7 linked regions of the Kluyveromyces lactis genome follow. The protein of the gene in region 2 interacts with the protein of the main gene of each other region in a biochemical or structural test. Links are inferred from orthologs where the notes say so. Each region holds a gene or a part of one and is shown on either strand. Other genes may lie near its edges.

Region 1 (2,840 bases), on a different chromosome or scaffold from region 2:
GCGTTGTGCAGTTCTATGAAATTCAGAGGTTGGTATGTTTGTACCACTTCTAAATAAAGGTTATACCATTCTGATTCCTCTTCTTCTTCTTTCTTCGTGGGTTTTTTCACCTGACCATTTATAATCCATTGAGGCCTGATTCGTTTCAACAGATGAGACAGGTCCCACCATATGATATACTTCACTTCTTTTAATATCAACATCTTGCAATGTTGTGGTAAAATAAGGTTATTGAGGTCTATGAATTCGCAACCTGATAAGGAAAGACATTGAAGTTGTTCCCATTTTTGTAAATCAACAACAGATTTGTACCCCAAATCCCTCAACGTATACAGCTCTAATTCGAATATATTTTGTCGGACATTGTATACTATTGTCTTACCAGGGTTCTCTCGAACTCCTTGAGTATTAATCAGGTTATTAAACATGTTCTTCGATTCAATGCGAAGCATGTGCAAGTTATTGAACGACTCCATGCATGGAATGATAGAAACGACGTTCTCATGATCTAAATCCCAGCAATTGATGAAACTAATATATGAAACTGTATCAAATAGCCAGCGGTGTTGTATCTCTTTGCATAATTCATTGACATCATTGATATCACTGACGTTAATTCCTAACCTCAAATCTTGTTGTGCAATACTCAAAAGATGGCAATACTCGTTAATGGTATAACTCACCTGTAGAAACTGCTCATCTGTAGTGAATATTCCTATTTCAAGCTCACCTGACACTACGATCCATTGGACACTAAACCATTGTTCCTCATATTGTAAACAAACCCGCAGTCGATCAGTAAGTATTATGTCATGTCGAAGCAAATCGAAGTCTCGGCACCAATTGGGAATGAAATTTGGTATATAGTCATATACACCAATATGTTTAGAGTACTTATCCACCAGAGATTGATTGAACTCCCTTATATTAGGATAGGCAATAAGCTCATCGTTAAAGATATCTGATTTAGCAGGTGGTCTTACATTTTGCACAACGTCGCCCAAAAAGAAGTAAACAGTATACCGTATATCGATTGGTAAACTGAGGAACAGCTTGGTATCAAACATTCCATCTCATGTGCCCTGATTGACCTGTGATCGTGAATCTTTTGCAGCTCATTTCTCTTTATTCTTCTTCATGGGAAACTTCAATAATTTACGCGTTTTAATTTCGTTCTTTGCCTTTATTCTAACGACCTTTATGAATGGAATAAAAGAGACAGATACAGTAAATGCACCGTTGTTACTCGTGATATCAAGCGCTAGTATGGATGCTCTTAAGATTGAGATCAAGCTGTGGGAGCGTGCTTTCGAGAAAGAGCATGGAAGGCTTCCTGAGAAAGATGATATAAAAAAGGATAAAGAGGTCAAGAGAAAGTATAAACAGTATGCACAGCTCAAGAAGGATGCTACTGTTAAACCATCGGTGGAGGTTAACGTAGAGCAAACACCAGTGAAGTCGCATGTGAATAACACAAAGGCTGAATTCGGACCGACTCCTCAAATGAATGGGAAATTAGTTAGTATATTTGAGATGCAAGTGTCTGCCATGAAAACTCACCAGTCGGATCAAGAAGATATAGTTGGCTCGCCAGTAAGATCAAATGACCTGGTAAGGCGCCAATTGAACTTCTCAATAACGCCGAACTCTTCTCCAATGAAGCAAGTTCCAAATCTATCTGCGAATATTGTTGTGTCAAGACCGAAATATGGACCAAACTCCCCAATGCGGATCGGCGATATTGGATTGCAGTTGTCAGAAACACCAAAGACGCTTGGTAGAACCCTGGATTTGAAAAGTTCTCCCTTCAGCCCATCGCCGCTGATTAAAAGGCCGGTGAAGACACTGTCCCAATTAGCGAAGGAACATGCCATTATAAAAGACGAATTCGAATCTAACCCAGAAGATTTCAGCGAATTCACTGCGATTAGAACGCTTATGGAAAAGCTGATGCAGGAAGAACATATGGATATAATTGAAGAGGGGGACGAGGGAACTGTCGGCAATGAAACTGAGAGCAATTATGTGCGGAAAGTTAAAACCATAAAGAAAAGAACAAAAGCGAAGATGAGACCAGCAGCATTAAACGAGAAGTCGACCAACATTCCAGACAAAAATGTTCATGAACAGCTAGCAAAGTTGAAGGAACGTGAGTACAATAAAATGCTGGGTAAAGAAGTGGAAGAAAGTGAGTCTGACTCTGAACAACAATCCAATCCACCCGTAAAGAAGAAGCAACGTAAGAGTAAATACAACCTTGTTAGCAACAACTTCAAGCGTTTGAATCTTCCAACAAAGGCAGGAAGAAACAGAGCCAGTAAATGGAGAGGAAGAAGGTGATTTCTTCAAAGTCAGAACGTTAAAAACAAAGAAACAGACGTAACGAACGGGATGATACAGTTGTTGCAGTCTATGTACTATAAATGTAAATAAATATAATCTTTTACACGCATTCCTTTTTGTTATAGATCAGTGTAGAAAGGATTTTATCAGTTTGTTAACAATTGGAGCATACCCTCTATCTTTTGTGCTTCTTTTGCTTTGCGGATCTCTTCCCTTACTCTTTTCTTTAGAGTGATTACCATCTCTTCAAGTACTGGGGACTTCTCCAGTACACTACCGTAGAGTTCAATTACAACCGCAATCCAGTCTGCAACAATTGGTGCACTTCTAACATCTTCTATTCCCTTCAAGCACCAGTTGAGTAGTGGTTCTAGAGAACTTTCGTCTCTACCGTATAATGCAACCTTGATTTTACCTCTTTTCCTTAGTTCTTGTAATACCGTTAAAGTTAATTCTTTAGCCATACCGGGGATAAATGCAGAATCTAATGCGTCAGA
Region 2 (2,741 bases):
GGGGGATGTGAATAGAGAGAGAGAAGGTATGGGTTGAGTTGAGAGACATTACGTCAATTGAGCTGTCTCTTACCAGGCCTCGTCTTTAATTTCTTCAGGGATTCGGTCGGAATAATGGACAGACATATTAGCGATAGAGAGGGGATGTCGAGGATAGGTGACTAGGTAGATTTGCGTTCAGCCAAACTAGCAATGGCGTAACGTTAACGAAGAGCCCCAGGCCTAGGGGAGGGGGGCGGGTTTCAATTTGCTTCGGTTTTTCTTGCTCTTAGTTCTTTCTTTTTGGGCGCATTGCTGTGGCACAGGCAAGGAAATCAAGGCCCGTTTTTTTTTTGTTTTTGTGGTATGTTTGCAGCATCTCTCGAAGGGCTGTTGGATGGGACAAAAAGAAATGGAATGTGGAGTTCCGGGTAATATAAGTCACGTGAATACACGTGACTGGTATTGTTTTTATTATATATCATATACATGAATATACGCGCCTCCTGTCACCAACACTCTCACTCCTCCTTGAAGTACGGGTGTTGTACTGCTCTTTTGGCGCTAATGCGGTGGATTGGATCGTAGGTGATCAATTTGTCCAAGAGATCGATACCGTTTGCATCTAGCGATGGAATTACCTCGGATAAATTACGACGGTTCCATTTAGGGAATGTAGTCTTGAAATCCGGTAGATAAATAATATCCGGCCATGTTCTCTCGTTTGGTGTGCCTAACACTCGGAATATCTTGAAGATCTGATCAATTTCACTGTCTCCGCTGAATAACGGTTTCCTGTTGCACATCTCGGCAAATATACAGCCAATGGACCATACATCGACCCCTGTACTGTACTGTTTCCCACCTAATAACACTTCTGGTGCCCTATACCATAAAGTGACGATCTCATGGGTGTACGCTCTCAAGGGGACACCGAATGCACGTGCAAGGCCGAAATCTCCCAACTTCAAGTTCCCATCTCTGTTGATCAATAGATTCTGCGGCTTCAAATCACGATGTATGATCCTATGAGCATGGCAATAAGCAATTCCCTTGCACAATTGCATCATAAACTTCTTTATAATGTTGCCTCCCAATGGCTGGTCCTTGGGGATCGATTCCATGTATCTTTTCAAATCAAGATCCAAAAATTCGAACACTAGATATAACTTGTGCGCGTCCGAGTGCACGATGTCATATAATCTGACAATGTTGTCATCCTTCAGTTCCTTCAATAATGAAATCTCACGTATCGCAGTACTGGGAACACCTTCGTCTTCAGATTCTAATCTGATCTTTTTCATTGCTACCACTCGATTCTGGTGACGCAAATCAACCGCTTTGTAAACAACACCATAAGTACCTTCTCCGACTTTCTCAAGTCTCTTGTAGTTTGTTAATTCGGACATCCTGGTATAGGGTGGATTTCTTGTATGATGCGACCTTGCTGTTCTGTTTCTTTACTACTTTCAAGTTTTAGGTAGGTACAGATTGTTCTCTTTTGCAGCAGTATATTCAGATCAAGTAAAATTTGCTGTGCTCGCGTATAAATATGCGTCAAATCAAATAATCAACTATCACTCAGTGCTTATGGCTCTAATATTACCCTGGTATGTGCCTTCTTTCTAACAGATTAACGTTGCCTTAATACTATATTAATATCTTCGAAATTGTGTTTGTATTTTCTTCGTTTTAAGGTCAGAAGGTCAATAATGAGCTTTACGTGTAATTGAAAAGAAAGAAAGGTTTGGAATTGTAAGATGAACGCAGGGATTTTGTAACGTATAGGGCATTGCTGAACGGTTTTTTCAGTATACTTTCATGTTACAGAATATTTAACACAGAAACTTACAAAATTTATACACTTCTACAGGTTCCAATAATTATGGTTTCTTTGTCAGGATATCGCACAATAATCAAACGTTACTACAACAAATCTATTTAAACCTGCTCCTTATATCAAAACAAACTAATATTTTGGAGACAACTCTTTTTATTGCTTCTTGGCTTGTCTTTCAGCCTTTTTCAAAGCTCTCTTTCTGATACTCAAGTGGAAGGAATAATTAATTGAATTAGCAATCTTAGAGTACACACCGACGGTGTTCTCGATAATGAAATGGTATAATGCATGAGACCAATACGGCGTGGAGGTTGCAAAACGCTCTTGGGCACCACAGCGTTTGCCAATGGAGTTCAATGTGGATCTCACGAAAGCCTTTGGAGAAGGGATCAATGCACTTGATCTTCTAATCTTAGACATTGCACTGGTAACTAAGTAAGATAACACTAACTCAACATCGATAGAATCGCTAGATAATTCACCAGCTAGGGCGTTAGACCAACTTTGTAAAAATGCCTTGGAACCACTGTATGTAGCTAAGAATGGGGTAGGTAGCAGACCACCAAAGGAACCCATTGTCAAGATTAGACCACGACATTTCAACGTCTTAACGCTTGCTTTTAATTGTGGTAACAAAGTTTGTGTGATCATTAATGTCGCAGTATTGTTGATAGTAATTATATCTCTCAATTCAGATTCTTCGGTTTGATCAAATGGTACTGGAATCGAATGAGACTTACCAACATTATTGATCAAAACAGTTACAGGTAAACCCGACGCAACTTCTCTAATTAAAGTATAGTTCTCCTTGCTATCAGAACTGACATCAATGGCTAAAATTTTAACGTCAATCTTGCATTCAGTCTCGATTTCCTTCTTCAATTCAACTAGCTTCGATTCAGTTCTACTGATCAAAATTAGG
Region 3 (2,875 bases), on a different chromosome or scaffold from region 2:
GCTCAATCTCATTTTCAAAGGTATAGTAGAATAAAACGCTTGCAGTAATGAGCAAAAGCAGGATTGATCGGCATTTCCTCCATGTATGGAGGAGTAACCTTAGAAACATAGTCCTCTCCTATGTGTTAATGTTCCTGTGAGATCGTAGGTCTAGCTAATGGGATAGACATGAAGTAGTTTATAACTTATCTATTTCGTGAATCCAATATCGTGCTTGTATGTTTTTCTAATTTGAAAACGGATTTTGATCTCATCTCTCAAGGTCACAATAGTCCACTCAAGGACAATAAATCGAGGGAAACTGCCAATGGATTCAAATGAAATTTCTGACAACCGGTATTGTTGTCACCCCGCCGAAGTTTTAAATATGGATACCGAGAAGAAAGTTAGCACACCATCTGTCGAATTGAACGAGATGAAAAGACAGATGTTAGTTCAGAAGAAAGAGATACAAAGATTAAAGCAGGTTCAACATTTTATGGAGCTACAAAGAAACACTACTAGATAGATACCAAGAGTTGCTCTGCCGATATTCTCAGATTACCATCGAATTTGACCATGCGTAGCCACATCTTAGCTAATTTTGGGTTGTCCGTTATGAGAGGCATCCATTTGTACACTTGAATCAGTTGTTCGTCAATTGGTCTCCTATGCAAGAAATTATCGCTTGAAACATTCCCGAACATCCCATTGAATGATTCATTTTTAGTCACCTGAGGCCAATCCTCGTTACTGGGTTTCCCAAACTTATCAAATAAAGTGAGCACAAGTTTTATGTCAGAACATTCGTCGAAATCAATGTCTATCACTTTGCTGCTTTTTGATTTGGATTGTGTTTTATCGTTCCAGAGTTGAGAAATCAACACAGCTAATGCCCAAATATCTATCTCGAATTTGTAATTTGACACGCTAAAGAGAAGCTCTGGTGCTTTGTAAATTGATGTGGAACAATCACAGGTCTTGGCCTCATTATCCAGATTCCTATTGTAACTTATACCGAAGTCCCCTAATACGACTTCATTGTACGAGTTAAGCATGATATTCTGCGGTTTGACATCCCTATGTATAATGCCATTACCGTGTATATAAACTAATCCCTCGATTATTTGTCTTATAATCACTGTCGAGTGATCGAGTGGTATGGTATTTGAATATGTTTTTGTAGAATTATCTAACAAGTACGGATTGTATTTCGCCTTCCAATGTTGGTCCATGAACTGGTTTAAATCGCATTGATACCGTTTGAATTTGAATGTAACATACCTTGGTGAGGTTTCAGAACCGAGCAAGGGTATCACATGCTTATTTGATAGTGTTTTCAAAATTTCTAACTCAGTATGTGCATTATGAGGAGGTCTTTGCAACTCAAGATCTATCCGTTTCACCACAATGTCAGGAAACAATTCTAAATCAGCGCAACCTGTTTGAATCTTAATTGGAGTTGTCATATTTGTCTTGTTTGTCATGTAGCCAATGTAGGTTAGTACGCTATACCCCTAGTCTTGTCAGTGACAAACCCAATGGTTCAGTTTCATGTCCGAAGAGATTAGAACTAATCTATAATTTCCGTTTTATGTCATTAATGTGATAAATGAAGGAAGGACGACAAAAGACAAGGACGACAAAAGACAAGGAAAAGGTGTAGCATTTTGTAGTATCGCAAGGAATCACTATAATTACTAAAATAAAAACACGTATGTTGAAGGTTCTATAATTGTACAAGTAAGTAAGATGTATATATAGATACATAAAAATGGGGAAAGTTTGATCCAACGAAGACAGACATCAATTAACTAAAAGGGAAGAGATGGAAATTCAATTGGTAACAGGTATCCGAGAGAGGGGAAATGAGATATCGTACGAAGGACATGTGTTTATTGTGAGTAGGAGAAAAAAAAAGTAGTCATAATCATAACAGAAAAGAAAACGAGTAGTTACAGTCTTGAATGTAGTTCGTTATGGTGTGCAAATGCATGCAAAGTGGAGTGAAGAGTCTTGAATCGAGAAAGAGCGACTTACAATTAACCTAAGAAGCTTTGGTTGTGACGTAAACTCTGTCATCACAGTCACCTTCTACTTCTTGTTTGATGGCCTCCATCTTTTCGACTTGGATTTCCCAAGTTTGTTTGCTCTTCTTCAAAGATTTGTTGAAAAGTTCTTGATCTGGTTCTCTGTAAGAACCACCCAATCTATCCCATAGGGTAGTGAATTGTCCGTAGTTGTAGTTGAAATATAGATGGTGCACAGTGTGGCAAGCAGCACCGTTAATGACAGGGTCATTAGCCAGATATTCACCGTCGTGGATCATTACAGTCCAGAAGTTAACGAAGGTGAAAAGAATCAAATATGAAATTTTTTGCAATGGGAAAATCATTGGGTAAAGATGGTATGGCACAGATTGCATGTAACCGTCCACTGGGTGGAACGCATGCGACGCATATGGAGTGGTAACCAACCATTTGTGATGAGGCTTGTGCAAAGCCCTGTAAACTCTAGGCCAGTGCAACCATCTATGAACCAAATAAATCAAACAATCGGTGAACATGATGAAAGAGATCACTTCAAACGCAAGTTGACGAATTCCAGCCCATGATTTATAATCGATATCGAGGTAAAGCTTCGAATATCCGTTCAATTCGAACAAGAACCATGGTATAGTCAACAGAACCATCACTGGGATGGCACTGAATGCCTGTTTCATTTCCAACGACATCTGGTTCTTCAAATAACGGGGATGATTGAAAACAGCCTTATCAAAAACGAAAAGGTACGACATCGTAGCGACACTGAAGTACAAAGCCCATCCAAAAATTGTCATCAAGACAAACATCGTTAGCGTTTCTCTAAACAAATTATAACGAGGGAAAATTGATTG
Region 4 (3,960 bases), on a different chromosome or scaffold from region 2:
ATTTTGACCACAGAATCTAATATCACACAGCATCGCAGACTCTTGGAAGAAGTGGGCTTGAATGCAATAAACAATCAACCATCTACCGCTCAAACCAAGCCAAGAATGAGTATTTCCCATGTTTTTGGTAATGACCATCCTCAACATATGAGGACTGTTTCCGTCAACAGTGTCAGGTCGGCATCTTCTAGACCAAGAGCCTCCTCGAACGCACAATCTCAACAGCAACCCATCCAATCTTCTCAGGTCCAAGCTCAGTTACCTCAACAATCCCAATCTCAACCTCAGCATCAACCTCAGCAAGCGTCCATTTCTGGCATCTCTGGGCAAGCAAGCTACTACACCTACCCTGGCATGTTTCCCGCTTCACAACCGTATCAGTATTCCACGTCAACCAGTGGTCTGAATGATGATTTAGTGTCAAATTTTGATATGCTGACATTCAATAATGGCACGCAAATATCCTTGCCGCAACTAACAATGAATGGTCAACCACTCCCCCATTCTCAGAATAGACATCATAATGGACAGTTTGGTGATGGAATGTTCAACCACTGATTTGTTCACGAGCTATTGTTACATACTAATAATATTAAAAAAAAAAAGAAAATGTGGCACGTAAGACGCTAAAGTATCCTGTGGGGAACATCCCTGTATAATAAGAACCTCCCCTCGCTTCCCTCTCATCTATTTCTCACCTTCTGTTTCATGATCAAAAACTTACACAATTATTGCAAACGACTCCTGATCCTACTTATGTTATTCCAGGATGATGATTTTTACGACCTAAAACCTATTAAAACAAGCTTGCAGCACAAACTGCTGTCTCGATCGATGACTTCATACACTTTCGTCTCATAATATAGATATAACTTCTCCTTTTCATCTTTTAAATGTACATAAATATATTATATATACCTCGATCTTCAAAGTTTATTCTTCTCAGCTTCCTCTAGTTTGACAGTATTCGTCTTCTGTGATACTTCTTAGTATATTTTGCGTAATTTCTATGTCACAAAAAAAGGTAACCGCTCTCTCCTTGCTGATTAAACGTTTTATGTGATAAAATACAGGTCCAATTAAGTGGAGCCAATAGTAGATGAAACTCAAAAGGAAGTATTTGTACTATTTTGAGTGATACTTAAAATTGCTACGCTACAATGGACCCACAGCAACCGGCATCCGATAATTCTGAATGGCAGTTTCAGGTCAGTCCTGGCGCTGCTTGGAATTTAAGAGCACAAGCCAGGAGGGGCCAGACAGGCAGCAGGGATGCAATTCCGTTAAGAGTGGATGAGCTGACGGATGAGAATGAGCTTAATTGGGAGGCTCTTAATAATAGGAATCTTAGCATTCTTGGAAACGATACCCTTTCTGATATTTTCAGATCAAATCAACTGATCAATAACGGAACTAACGATAATAATAGTAATAACAATATCGACGGTGAAATACTGAATACTACAGGAACTGACGAAGATAACAGAAGAAGTACTGATATAGATAATAATACCGCTGACCATTTCGAAGAATTGACGCGGGGAGCTGCTCGTGAAGCTAACTTATCGAGGGAAAGTGCTCATGTATCTTCTGGTCTGCCTGCTGACTGGTTTACTACCATGAATCCTAGTAAACTGTCTTTACACCAAAGACCATTTTTGGCTAGAGAGCGGAAATCCGCCCTTAGTGGCATTGCACAAATTGAAGATGATTTAAGACAGTTGTTTGAAAACATAGAAAAAGAAGGATGGAAATTACCACCGATCGAAGGTGATTCTGAACAATTACAAGAATATTTTGATAAACACAAAATCGATATGAGGGCAAGACAAAATATTGAGAATTTTGTTCTCAAAATGCAAAAAGAAGCATTAGATGACAGCTCTAACTGGACCGAAAAGGAAGCGTTGTTGGATTTCTTACTGAAGCAAGTCCAACTTACACCAGAAGACACTACAGCATTAAGTGAAATTGTCGAACTTTCAAGATACAGATTTAAATTTGCATTAGGTATTATAGAATTAAGAAAAAACTATCTTAAGGAGTCTTTGCAGCTAGGAATCCAGCGACTTCGTGACCTAAACTATTCAGCATTTTTAGCGGAGAGTAATTTGTCGACGGAAGTTGTTGAACATCTAAAATCAACAATTATGAAACAGCAAAGAGTTATTTTAAGGGCAATCGAAATGGAACTCTATTCTCTACATTCCTATCAAGAAAAATATTCGGAAATTATCAAAAGGATGGCGAGATCGATACATGACTACTATAAAAGAAAGAATACCAACCCTAACGTACCAAATCCTATTTATTACTATCGCGATTTGTTTTTGAAATACTCTCCTTGGACAAAAAGAGGATTGGACTTGGCTTTATATGATATGCATGTCTCAGAAGAGGAATGGAAGTTTATGTCTAATCACGTGAGAAGCCAGTTGCCCCAGATGCTCTCAATGGTTTCTAAAGATAATGCATTATATACCAGAATCAAAACACCAAAGAACACTTTCCCGTTATCTGATCTTCCTCATGAAATCCTAGCAATGGTTTTAGAAGCAAAAAGTCAAAAAGCCAATATTGTTCCCTTAATGGCTGTTTCTAAGGCTTGGGCTGAAGTCATTGCAAAACTCATATATTATCGTCCCCATATCAATAAACAGCAGCAATTGAATTCTTTTTTGATTACCATGAGCAAGCCTAAGGAAGAGACGCTATTTGATTACAGGAGCTTGATAAAACGTTTAAATTTTTCATTCGTTGGTGACTATATGACAGATAGAAAACTAGAACATTTCATTGGGTGTCCTAACCTTGAAAGACTTACTTTGGTTTTCTGTAAATATATTACAACCAAATCTGTGGCAAAAGTTTTAAAGGGTTGTCAATATTTACAAAGTGTCGACATAACTGGTATTCATCACATTAGAGATGATTTGTTTGAAGTATTAGCATCGGATTGTGAGAGGATTCAGGGACTTTATGTTCCTCATTCAAACGATGTCTCACCTAATGCTATCTCGAATTTTATCACTCACGCGCCGATGTTAAAACGTGTCAAAATAACTTTTAATCAATCTATTGAAAATGATTTGGTGATGAAAATGGTCAAATGTTGTCCATTTCTCGTAGAGGTGGATTTAACGTCAACACCGAATATTGATAATCATGGCTTGGTTACGCTATTCACCTCTTTACCTCAATTAAGAGAAATCAGAGTCACGCATAACACGAACATCACCGATGAGTTTATGTTGGCGGTTTCTCAGGAAACCATGGGATTACCTGCATTAAGACTAGTCGACTTCTCTGGTTGCGAAAACATCACGGACAAGACAATTGATAAACTTGTTACTTTAGCACCCAAGCTAAGAAACTTATTTTTGGGGAAATGCAGCCGTATCACAGATTCCGCTCTAAAGTCGTTGGCAAGATTGGGAAAAAATATACAGACAATGCATTTTGGTCACTGTTTCAATATTTCAGATGAAGGTGTCAGGGTTTTAGTAAGCAATTGCCCCAAGATTCAATATATCGATTTTGCTTGTTGCACCAATTTGACAAACAAAACCCTTTACGAACTCGCTGAGTTGCCCAAACTTAAAAGAATAGGTATGGTTAAGTGCTCTCAGATTACAGATGAGGGACTTTTAACAATGATAAGCATTCGCGGAAGGAATGACACGTTAGAGAGAGTCCATCTATCTTACTGTACCAGTCTAACGATCTATCCTATATATGAATTGTTGATGGCATGCCCCAAGTTATCGCACTTATCGCTAACTGCAGTTCCATCTTTTCTTCGTCCCGATATCACGCAGTTTTGTCGTTCTCCCCCCAGTGAATTTACCGCTAATCAAAGGCAGATATTCTGTGTATTTTCCGGAAAGGGCGTTCATAAGTTGCGTCATCATTTAATGGGTATTCATGAACCTACCGATGGACCTAGCACCAAATCTGACG
Region 5 (3,010 bases), on a different chromosome or scaffold from region 2:
AAAAAAAAACGATAACTATACTAATACTAATCATAATAGAAAACAAACATTGTAATAATTAATCTAGCCAACCCACATGTGTCAATGTGTTTTCCATTCAACAGATAAAATGAGGATTTAGACCTTAGTGAACCCTTTACTTCAATTCACTTTTAATATTTCACCTGCTCAAAAACTCAGAAAGAGTTCTCTCAGGATCATCAGTATCAGCATTATGTTGCAATCATAGGTATACCCACCCCTTACCCTTTAAAGTATAACCACTTCAAATAATTTACTTCTTATGTACACTTAGCATGTTTCTGAACTAATTTCAATTAATGAATAAGTCATTTTTTAACTATTATTATTAGTTGATTACTCGATTAATTATTTATAAAATGCAATGGATATGATTATGAAGTAAGAACATCTTGAAATGATGGGAATGCGAGACCGCAAAAGTAGCTCGGGGATGTGAATGAGCTTAAGATCCAAAAGAACTCGGAAGTGAAAAATTATCATAGTGAAGTGGAAGATGCAGGTGATGATGAAGCGTAGTCGCTAGGGTTCAGCTCTTCATAAGTACAGTGCTTCAAACACCAATCATGGATTTTGTTCCATGTGCCAATTTTTTTGTATTTGTGAATTAATGCATTAAGTTGTGTTGTTGGCTTAGCAATATCGTTTATCAGAATTTGTGATAACTCTTTTAACTCTATCTCATTATCTTTGAATGAAAAGCATGAATAATAATCCCATAATTCGTCCCATTGGAAGTCTTCATGCACGATTCTTTGTGCAGTGAACATTGCCACGGACGCAATCTTAGAAGGCACTACGTCGATGAAGTGTGGGCACGAAATCATATATCCAATTAAACACTTGCCCAAAGTTCTAGTGATTGAATCGTACTCATCACATCTGGATATTCTTCGTAGAAAATTTAATGGGTTAGGCCATCCGATGTTGTATTCCAGTTTATTCAGAATGACAAACTCGGCCTGTTTGATTTCATCGTTGCTGTAAGCATTATCTGTGATATATGAGTAATTTGATAGCTTAGGAAGATTCACCTCCTCAAACTTGGCGGCAATCAATAAAGACGTGATTGCAATTAATTGTAACTTTGGTAATGTAACTTTGTTAAAAGAAAGATATCTATCCATGAGGTTTATCGAAAGGTACAACGTTTCCGGTAACAGTTGAAACTTACAATGAACCTCTATAATCCAATCAACGAGGATCGATCTCATCGTCGGTCTCAAGTAAAATTCGTAATTTTTATCCTTCAAATAATTGATCTTTGGCGTAGTTTCAAACTGTCTCGTGTAAAGATGGTCAAAAATATCATCCGAATAATCATAACACATCGTTACATCTTCTTTATCCTGGGAGTCCAATTCTTCTCTACGTCTTTCTAAGCTCTCGCATTTCAGTCTCTTATGACTTTTCCTGGGCTCTAGAATATCATCATCTGAACGCACATCTGATTTTTGTTCCTCATCATCATCATCACGGTATATCTGTCTTTTCAACGACACTGAACTCGTTGTCTGTGAAGAGTTCCCATATATCTTATTTTTACCTTCATCGACTTGTGAATTCCTCAATGACCCGACTGAAGATTTCAGTTTATTATCGTGGAGTGGCTGCTCCGATAGCGCGACACGTTTCCTTTGGTGTGAAGACTTCTCCATTGCTTCTGCGTCACTAACACTCCAGCTGCTCCTGGTTCTCGGTCTCATCTTAAAATCTATACTCTATCGTTCTGTCTCCTAGTATGTGGTAAACATATATGCTGTATATATATATATGAAAACAGTTTCAACAGGATAGAGAAGAACTTAACCTGTTAGCGGTAACCCAGCCAGCCAATGTCACCAAAATCTTGGACCTGACAGACAACACACAAATCGCGTCTCTTTCTCTTATTGTTCTTTCTTGGCCCTAAAACAACGAGAAAGATACAATATACAGAAAAACACCGAGTAATCGACCGTGCATATCCAGTGGAAACAAACAAAATCTGTTATACACGCTTTCATAGACTAACAGCAGGTCATAAAATTCGTGAAGTTCCTTTGGAAGCTCTAACAGGCCTGTCTTGGTTCAAGGACTTTCCAATTTCGCTTTGTAGATTCGCATCTTCGCAAAGTGCTGACGCGTCAGCACGCCAAAAACGAAATTTGAAAAAAAATTGTTTCGCGTCTTCGCGTTGTCCGGATCTCAATCACGTGACCAAAGTATTCCGGACAAAATGGAAACTGTCAATTTATTTTCACGTGATTTAGACGGGAAAAAAGTCCCGTTTTCTATTTCTGATGAGAGAGAGAGAGAGACTCATTAGTATGCGACATACAGCGATTATCGCTGACTCCTCTTCCTTCGAGCGATTTGCCTGGCATATATCGTACCGGCTTACAAAGTCAGCCCAGTACAGCCAAGGAAAAAAGGCAGACGTTCGCCGAGTTCTATCAGTCTTTCGCTACTATTCCTCTATCTTATCGGTCGGTCTTTCTTAGAACGAACAGATAATGAAAATCTGATATCGCCATACGGCTCCATTGAGATTTATCAGATTAAAGGGCTCGAAGAGACAAAAGGTACACCGTTCCATAGTTAGATTATATAGTACGAGAAACCTACCGTAGGTATATAAGTAAGGTTACAACCGATTTTTGGGGGGTTTTGTCCAAGATATAACATCATTTTCTTTTGTATTCATCTGATTATTAGGAAGAACACTATCTATTAACTAGATAAAAAGCAGCGCAAGGAATATGGAAGGGTTCAAGTCTAAGTGGGAAAAATTTAAGAGATACGTTTCTGGGAGTCCAGTTGAAGGTGAGAAATACGATGAGGCTCCTAAGGTCGAGGATTTGCCTCATATGGTCGATGCAGACGGTGCTCTTGTTGCAGTTTCTTCCGGGAAACACGATTTGTCCCCGGTGATGTCTGCCAAGTACAATATTCAACCTGGGAAATCCAATAATGGTTTGGCTGAAAACAAGGCCATTGACGATACTAT
Region 6 (3,371 bases), on a different chromosome or scaffold from region 2:
CTTTAAAGGGTAAGGGGTGGGTATACCTATGATTGCAACATAATGCTGATACTGATGATCCTGAGAGAACTCTTTCTGAGTTTTTGAGCAGGTGAAATATTAAAAGTGAATTGAAGTAAAGGGTTCACTAAGGTCTAAATCCTCATTTTATCTGTTGAATGGAAAACACATTGACACATGTGGGTTGGCTAGATTAATTATTACAATGTTTGTTTTCTATTATGATTAGTATTAGTATAGTTATCGTTTTTTTTTTTTTTTGGGTTTAGTATGCTTTTAGAATGCCTCCCTTTAACGCGCAACATGTACTATTCCACTTCCCAGAAACTAATTGAGTATTGGATCAGATTGATTCCATATCTCTGACCCCGTGATTCGAATTTCTTCTTATAGGAAAAAGTCCCTCGATAACATTTCATATTGGCACTACAATGGCCAATCATACTCAGTAATTAAGGCCGGAAGGATCATGGTTTCTTTAAATGATCGAATCTCGTGATTTATTCTGAATCATGTAGTGTCATTATATCATAGTTGTGGGACATGACTTTCTTTGCCCATTGTCTAGAAATTACCGATGCTTTCATAAATCTTCTCGAAGCGTATTTCTTAAACAATTCATCATGTACAACAGGCTGGACCAAATATTCCATAACCATATTACACACGGGAGCTAGTTCGTCTTTGGTATATCCTCCACTATAGTGTATTAGATTTCCATCCCATTGGCCCTTTCCTAACATCTTTCTCGATAAGAACATAGATGCTGCGGCGCACAATGAGGGTAGAATCCCAATGAATTTGAAGTCAACTATGGATATCTCAAGCAAATATTTCGCCAATGTTCTGGATTGTATATCATAGTCATCTGCCTTAGATATCCTTCTTAGGAAATTCATGGGATTTGGATAATTGAGATTGAACTCTAACGTTTTTAGAATAAATTTCTCTCCTTCTTTGATTTCTTCTTCATCGCATGCACCATCCGTTTCGTAAGCGAAGTGTTTCACACTGGGGCTATACACTTCTTCATATTTCGAAGCGATGAATAAGCACGCTGTTCCTACTAATTGTAGTTTTTCCAGCTGTACTAACTCTTTGCAAAGGAATCTATCCATGATATTCAACGCCAAATATAAGGTTTCCGGCAGTAGGCCAAACTTGTTATGAATCTTTACCATCCAGTTAACTAAAATATCCCTATTTTGCTGAATGTTGGCATGTTTGAATAGTTCGTGTCTGTTAGGCAAAGTCATCATTTCCAATCTGTGCAAATATTCAAAGATATCTGTAACATATTCGCTTACCATGAAGGGATCATTGATATCTTCTTCATCAAGATCTTCCCATTCATATTCTTTACCCTTTTCACATACTTTAAATTTCTTAGGTAACGTTTGTTCAACGACAGTGCTTATTGGTCTCTTTTTCGAATCCTCAACCTGAAGTTGCTTTGCTCTCAATTCGACACTGCTAGCGCTATTGTTAGCATTTTCGTCAATTGGCATAGGCGCAAGGCTGTTTCCGACGTTAACAGCAGGGCATTCATTGCTACTCTTACTTCCACTACTGGCATCATCTGTTGCGTCACTGCCATCGTTGACGTTTTCGTGAAAAGCGTTTGTGGTTTGCATCTTGAAATCAGCTTCATTATCTGAACGCTGAACATTTGGGTTGACGTCGTGAACGCCGTCATTTTCCGTATGCTCACTGCTGTATGTTGATGATGATGGAGCAGACTTTTCAGTATCCAGATGTGAATATCCAATTATTTCTTGTCTTTCATCGATCGTAACATGCTTTTGTGTACCCAGGGATTTGTGATTATGAACTAGATTAGAATCCAGCTCCTCTCTTTCATCAATCTTAGCTAGCGGATTGTAATTCTCCTTATCCTCAGGTACCATTATGTCATCTCTCAATGGTGCCGGTTTTGTGTTCGAATACGAGTTTGCGGTACCCTGGGGAAGATTATTCGTCCTGCTATTCTGCAGTCTTGATTTAGCCTGCCTCAAAACTTTACCGAACGTAGATTCAGTAGTATTAGTAACATTGTTTAACACTGGTCTTCTTAGCATGTTCAAGTTTTTCAAGCTTCTATCATATTTATCCTTTGACATAATGCTTTGACAGAATTGTCTTTAATTTAGTTTCTGTTAAAAAGAAGAGATCGGAAAGAAAGACAATTGCACTTTCTTTAGTACCTGCTTTAGCAATCAACTCAGTCAACTATTCTATTACCAATTTCCCAATGAGTTCTGCAGGAGATCAATAATTAAGAGTTATACCAACAGATCTTGATTCCAGTATAAAAAAACTCTGCGATTCTTTTTAGGAGCAAGACGTAGGATCTCTTGATCAACTTGCTTTCTGCTATCACTGTCTCTACCGATAGCAATGTCTTCACCGCTGGCGATACTCTTGGTAGTATGTTTCCTATCGACTATTGTCAACTATGGACTGGGATTGTTCAAAGCTAAAACCTCTTTATTGAAATAATGAATCTGAAAAGCTTGGATCAGATTCAGATTCGATTTGGAAACTAACCTATTGAGGAAGTAACAAAACAATAATAAAGAAACAGCAAGGGACAACAAACCAGAAAAGTTCAAAAAGAAAAAACAGGCTCACTCCAATCGGAACAATACAAATTCTTCACCAGTTGTATGGAAAGATTCACCGAAAAAGCTTTAAGAACCGTGAGAAGCTTTTGTGATCGTTCGCTTAAAGCCTACTTTTTCTCTATCGTCACTGAGACAGACGCAGCAAAAACTTCTTACTTCTAAGATAAAGAAGAATACCTCACTACAGATGCTTCAACTGTCGGGAGAAGTAGCACAAAAGAAATTTTAAATGTCTACAAAGAACCTCTACGTTGATTTATGGCTTCATAGCAGACGCCCCTCCCCTTCACAGAATCTAATGAGGATTCCCTCAGTCACCGAACGTTGTCGTCATTCTGTAATAATAACCAAAAGAAAAATGTAACCACAAGCATGGAGTACCCAAAGGAATACTGCAATGGAGTATGCGCAGTGATGCCCTATCCCCCCAATCCGCTCAGTTGCTCATATAGTCAGTTGATGCTTCTTTGTCAGAAAGGTAGCACCAAATTACAAAGCGATGAGCTTTTGTGAAAAGTCCATCGGTTTATTTACATTTTTCCTAAAACGTAAATATGCATAGTTGTTTACCTTTTTCCTTATTAGGAAGTGTTCGATCAATAAAGAAATCAGGCCGTAGCATGAGTGCAAACACAGGACCTGGCTCTGGCCCTATTCCTGGCACTGGCTGTTTTTCTCCCTAGCGAAGTTAAGACTATTCATACGCGCGATCGTTGGTGAATTCCAGCTGCAAAATGCTGTTTGTGT
Region 7 (4,116 bases), about 400 kb from region 2:
AAAATGCATCCTTTATTATATCTTTCTATCTTATAATTAAATAGTTGAAAAAGCAGTTTCATATTCTACTTAACCGCTACGCTACATGACAACCTAAGTAGCAATTATAATAGCAGCAAAGGCGTCTTGAAGGCATATACTAAAATGTCTTCAACATTTCATCTTCATGCAAGCATTGCTCCGCATCTTCCATGGAAATATTTAATTTGATCGTCGAGAGCCTCTCATTCTTCAAATATTGCCTTACTACAACACCTGCATCCAATAATTGCAATAAAATATAGTCCCAAGACACGGCCCTTAACTGTTCCTTTGTATCAACAGAATCATTTTGGAATAAAATCCGTTTCAACTCTAAAATGTATTTGTTATTCCCATTGACATCAATGAGGAGCCTCATTTCTTCTACGATATCACCAAGTTGTACGTCAGTTTGCTTCTTCTTAATTAAATTGATTAATGCGTATAGGAAAAGTTTTCCGCTAAATGACAGACCAGATATGAATTGTTGTTCCGGAGAGGTCGAACTTTCGTTTAATGCCTTGGTAATATGCTTAATTTCTACACTCTGTAATTCTTCATTTCCTGTACCATTGCCACTAGTATCTTTTTTGGAATTGACTAGTCGCTCATATCTAAGCCTCTTTAAGTAATCATTTTCCGCATATTCTACCGCTCTTTTGACCACCTTTAAAGCTCTCCGCACATCACCACTGACACTAGCAATTTTTCTTGATGCAATCTCAATGGCATCAGGATTAATCCTAAGTTTTAGTCGTTTATAGTTAGAGAAGTCTTTTCGCTTTTCTTCTTCATCAGTTTCTATAGTACTACTATCCGGAGAGATCATGTACGAACTCCCTGTCTCCGGGTCGACATAGAAACTAGATTCGTTCAAATATTTAAGTCTCAAATTGATGATTGTTCTAAGCTCTTCATGCGTGTAACCAGTGAACATAATTCTAGTAAAACCAATTCTGGACGAAATCTTGTTACCAAGATGGCGTTCGGGGAGATCTAAGGTGTTTGCGACAGCTACAACAATAAGTTTCGCATTTGAATAGGTAGCCCAGTTAAAGAAGTTGTACATTACATCTTGGCTCTTGCTAACTAATGCATCAAGCTCATCCAATAACACAACGATAGGACGTTTTTTCGTAGCTGGAACTTTGTTAAAATAAAACTCCAGAGATTCCATGGCAGCTCCAGATGTAAGCTTTTCTCCAGATATTTTTTGCCAAAAGACTTCATAACTATCACTTGCTTTGACAATCTTTAAACCATTGATTTCAATGTATTGGAATCTTGGAAGTTCTTTTTGGTCTGCAGATGTCATTAAATCCTTAACTACCTCTCGAACCGTCAAAGTTTTACCAACGCCTGGCGTCCCGGCAATGTAAATACTGGTGCTAGTGCCTGCTTCAATTGCACTGTAAAGTGAGAGGTATATACTTGCAAATTCATTTTCTCTTGCCGGAAGATAATTGTCGAAATCAGCAGCTTTGACAATTTCTTCTTTGCTATTCCTTGAGTTCAATTGCTTCTTCACCTTAGAAAAAATAGTCTCCATTTTGCCTTTAGCAGAAACTGTTCTGAATCTCTCCTCTAATGCAGCTATATCCAAATCATTATTATGCCTTTGGAAAATATCGTTCAAGTCAGGAATATCCTTCGGATTCTTATACCGTTTGGAAAATGGAGTATATGCCTTTTTAGCGCGCACTATATTATTCTTAAAGAACTTTCTAGGAGATGAATGAACTGCTGATGGCTGCAATGGAGTCTGTGATTTTACTGGTGAAATGGGTATATCTGGTTTAATAGATCTCACCTTTTTCTTGGCAGGTTCTACAATTGCAAGCTCTTCTGCAGACTGGTAATCTTCAAACTCTTCATCACTGTCCGAAGAGGATGCGTTTGCAAACTCTTCTTTACTTTCGTGATATTCAGATAAATCCGATTCATTATCTGATATAGCTTCCTTTTCGTTAACAATAGTAGATGCAATGCGTTGGACTTCAGCGTTGGTTTTGCTCACTGTTTGTTGAAAGCTTTTTTTGCTTGGTGTGTTGTCGGACTGCAATTTCGTCGCCACTACCTTCTCTCGTGCGTGGACCTTGGATTTATTTAAAGGTTTTGGAAGCTTGGGTAAAGTAATATCACGCAAATACTCCAGAGACACCTTAGGATTCGAGGAACGTATTTTTTCTTCAAAGAAATGTATATCTAAATCCGCCAGATTAGTTCCTGAAGGCAAGCATGCAGATCGACATAAAAACATATTAGAATCCATTTTCCCTTCATTGACAGAGTCTAAATACTCCTTTTCATTTTTAATATTAGCTACAAATTGCAAGTCCCGTAGATAAATCTCTGAAAGCTCAGCTGTCAAATACAATTCGTTCTTTATCGATTGTGACGCGAAGGTTTCCTCAAAAAATTTGTCACCTTTTTCCTTATTAGTCTCATAAAACTCTCCATCAAGCTGTTTATATCTTTCCGCAGCATTGATCTCGTACCAACTCAAATAGTTCAAACACCAGAGTTCTACGTAATTGCTTGTATTCAATCGCACCTCATGGATCATATACGCTGATAACTCGTCTGCACCCTCTACCTTGCACACAATCGTAACACCAGGATAAAGTCTGACTCCATCGTATCGTACCAAATTAATCACTTCATGTTCTGTAGCATCTCCTCTTCTTCTTCGCCTAGGAGTTTCAGCAATGAGATTCCCCTTCAAGTCTGTCTTCTGTATTTCCCATTGAACTTCAAACTCAGCTAACGTTGACGCCATGCCTAATAAACTCGCTACCACGGAATAAAAAGGAAAAATAATCAGATAACCGTTAAAATGCAGTAATTCCTTCCTAAACTAGTAGTAGTTACTTGCTGGCCAAGTATGTTGAAATGACAGCTACCTGTTTCCGTAGCATTCTTTTATCTCATAGCATATTGGTTGTTACACGGTTCCTCTGTTTACTGAATTAAGATCGATCTTGAAACATCAAATACGTGTAAAATGATACATAGTTTTCCCATTCCTGACGTCTAATTTTAAACCTTGAACCCTGGCAGAAACAGATCAAGAGATTTATCTCAAGAGTGATGACATGATAAACAGAATGAATTCTGCCAGTCAATTAACGAAGGTGAAGCAGATAAACACAGAAGAATAAAGGCAGCTGGCCTGCTGGAAAAAAAATTGAACAATTTCCCACGTTGATAGAGTCATACATAAGAAGCTTTTAGGAGCTTTATAAAAAGAAATGAGGTTTGGAAGTGTCTTGGCGAGGAATATATCGTTATGGAAATACTTAAAAGTGACCCTAGGACACCTCAACGCATTTGATAAGATGATGTTATGGCTGCGAGTTATAACTTCAGTGGGAATTATCGTTTTTGTCCTTGTTTTGACTGCTATTTCTGCCGCATCACCAAATTCGTTATATTTAGGACGATTGGACACTTCAAATGTTAACATTTTGCAGGGACTATTTGATAAGCTCAGCAGTTCTGTTGTCAGTGCAAAACTGTCTGATATTAATAACGGAGCAGGACTCACAACAGCAGAGATTCTTTTACTCACGCGGTATGTAGACTCACAGGTCCACGACGTGCCCGATTATATAAAGACAGGAGTTTACGGATGGTGCAGCATGAAACATGCTTCTCAAGAATTATGGCAGCCTGACGGTACTTGGAAGGAGGAACATAACTCTACAAAGGCTATGACTTGTCACAGGGAAGGAGCGCAATACTTATTGAACTATAGAAAGCTATTAGATGACCTAGGTTTGGGAATAGTGTTAAGTTACGCATACGGATATACTTACAACGATGGTGTTTTGGATCACGACAATGCAGAAAGTGCAAAATACAACAAATTTTTGGCTGCTTTGTCGAGAAGAAAAGTCAACATGGTCAATCTACTTTACGTCGTGGCAGTATTGGAAGTTTTCATATTGGGATCGATTGTCTTGTACTACATGATCAGGAATAGACCTGAACAAACCATGAAAACCAAAATCCTCCTGCATTCTATATCACTAATGAAACTATTGGTGTTTATTTGCTCTTTAGTAGCAGTCATAAACTTTACTATACTATCAA

The links.
Region 1: of the proteins of CDC28 (region 2) and SLD2, one has a biochemical effect on the other in vitro, tested with the Saccharomyces cerevisiae proteins (4 studies listed by BioGRID). The link is inferred for Kluyveromyces lactis from reciprocal best matches to the Saccharomyces cerevisiae genes CDC28 and SLD2.
Region 3: of the proteins of CDC28 (region 2) and CAK1, one has a biochemical effect on the other in vitro, tested with the Saccharomyces cerevisiae proteins (4 studies listed by BioGRID, with this or other methods). The link is inferred for Kluyveromyces lactis from reciprocal best matches to the Saccharomyces cerevisiae genes CDC28 and CAK1.
Region 4: the proteins of CDC28 (region 2) and GRR1 form a complex in vitro, tested with the Saccharomyces cerevisiae proteins (2 studies listed by BioGRID, with this or other methods). The link is inferred for Kluyveromyces lactis from reciprocal best matches to the Saccharomyces cerevisiae genes CDC28 and GRR1.
Region 5: the proteins of CDC28 (region 2) and KLLA0_D15565g form a complex in vitro, tested with the Saccharomyces cerevisiae proteins (7 studies listed by BioGRID). The link is inferred for Kluyveromyces lactis from reciprocal best matches to the Saccharomyces cerevisiae genes CDC28 and CLB5.
Region 6: the proteins of CDC28 (region 2) and KLLA0_D15543g form a complex in vitro, tested with the Saccharomyces cerevisiae proteins (10 studies listed by BioGRID, with this or other methods). The link is inferred for Kluyveromyces lactis from reciprocal best matches to the Saccharomyces cerevisiae genes CDC28 and CLB2.
Region 7: of the proteins of CDC28 (region 2) and ORC1, one has a biochemical effect on the other in vitro, tested with the Saccharomyces cerevisiae proteins (2 studies listed by BioGRID). The link is inferred for Kluyveromyces lactis from reciprocal best matches to the Saccharomyces cerevisiae genes CDC28 and ORC1.

Annotation. Positions count from the first base shown.
Region 1 is NC_006042.1:1,277,744-1,280,583, reverse strand, and holds SLD2 (Sld2p), read left to right. Parts: upstream 1-1,137; coding exon 1,138-2,340; downstream 2,341-2,840. Other genes in the region: CTF13 (Ctf13p), read right to left, coding at 1-1,067; snoRNA-binding rRNA-processing protein UTP15, read right to left, coding at 2,490-2,840. UniProt on the Saccharomyces cerevisiae protein: Has a role in the initiation of DNA replication. Required at S-phase checkpoint. Also required for the proper activation of RAD53 in response to DNA damage and replication blocks.
Region 2 is NC_006038.1:854,827-857,567, forward strand, and holds CDC28 (cyclin-dependent serine/threonine-protein kinase CDC28), read right to left. Parts: upstream 1,389-2,741; coding exon 501-1,388; downstream 1-500. Other genes in the region: IFA38 (ketoreductase), read right to left, coding at 1,973-2,741. UniProt on the Saccharomyces cerevisiae protein: Cyclin-dependent kinase that acts as a master regulator of the mitotic and meiotic cell cycles. Required to drive the G1-S transition. More than 200 substrates have been identified. Substrate specificity is in part regulated by the bound cyclin protein.
Region 3 is NC_006042.1:823,808-826,682, reverse strand, and holds CAK1 (cyclin-dependent protein kinase-activating kinase CAK1), read right to left. Parts: upstream 1,467-2,875; coding exon 501-1,466; downstream 1-500. Other genes in the region: putative mannosidase MNL2, read right to left, coding at 1-109; ERG3 (C-5 sterol desaturase), read right to left, coding at 2,027-2,875.
Region 4 is NC_006041.1:544,719-548,678, forward strand, and holds the start of GRR1 (SCF ubiquitin ligase complex subunit GRR1), read left to right. Parts: upstream 1-1,160; coding exon 1,161-3,960. Other genes in the region: JSN1 (Jsn1p), read left to right, coding at 1-558. UniProt on the Saccharomyces cerevisiae protein: Substrate recognition component of a SCF (SKP1-CUL1-F-box protein) E3 ubiquitin-protein ligase complex which mediates the ubiquitination and subsequent proteasomal degradation of target proteins.
Region 5 is NC_006040.1:1,315,625-1,318,634, forward strand, and holds KLLA0_D15565g (uncharacterized protein), read right to left. Parts: upstream 1,728-3,010; coding exon 501-1,727; downstream 1-500. Other genes in the region: KLLA0_D15576g (uncharacterized protein), read left to right, coding at 2,763-3,010. UniProt on the Saccharomyces cerevisiae protein: Required for efficient progression through S phase and possibly for the normal progression through meiosis. Interacts with CDC28.
Region 6 is NC_006040.1:1,312,509-1,315,879, reverse strand, and holds KLLA0_D15543g (cyclin family protein), read right to left. Parts: upstream 2,121-3,371; coding exon 501-2,120; downstream 1-500. UniProt on the Saccharomyces cerevisiae protein: Essential for the control of the cell cycle at the G2/M (mitosis) transition. Interacts with the CDC2 protein kinase to form MPF. G2/M cyclins accumulate steadily during G2 and are abruptly destroyed at mitosis.
Region 7 is NC_006038.1:453,401-457,516, reverse strand, and holds ORC1 (origin recognition complex subunit 1), read right to left. Parts: upstream 2,801-4,116; coding exon 140-2,800; downstream 1-139. Other genes in the region: ECM7 (Ecm7p), read left to right, coding at 3,273-4,116. UniProt on the Saccharomyces cerevisiae protein: Component of the origin recognition complex (ORC) that binds origins of replication. It has a role in both chromosomal replication and mating type transcriptional silencing. Binds to the ARS consensus sequence (ACS) of origins of replication.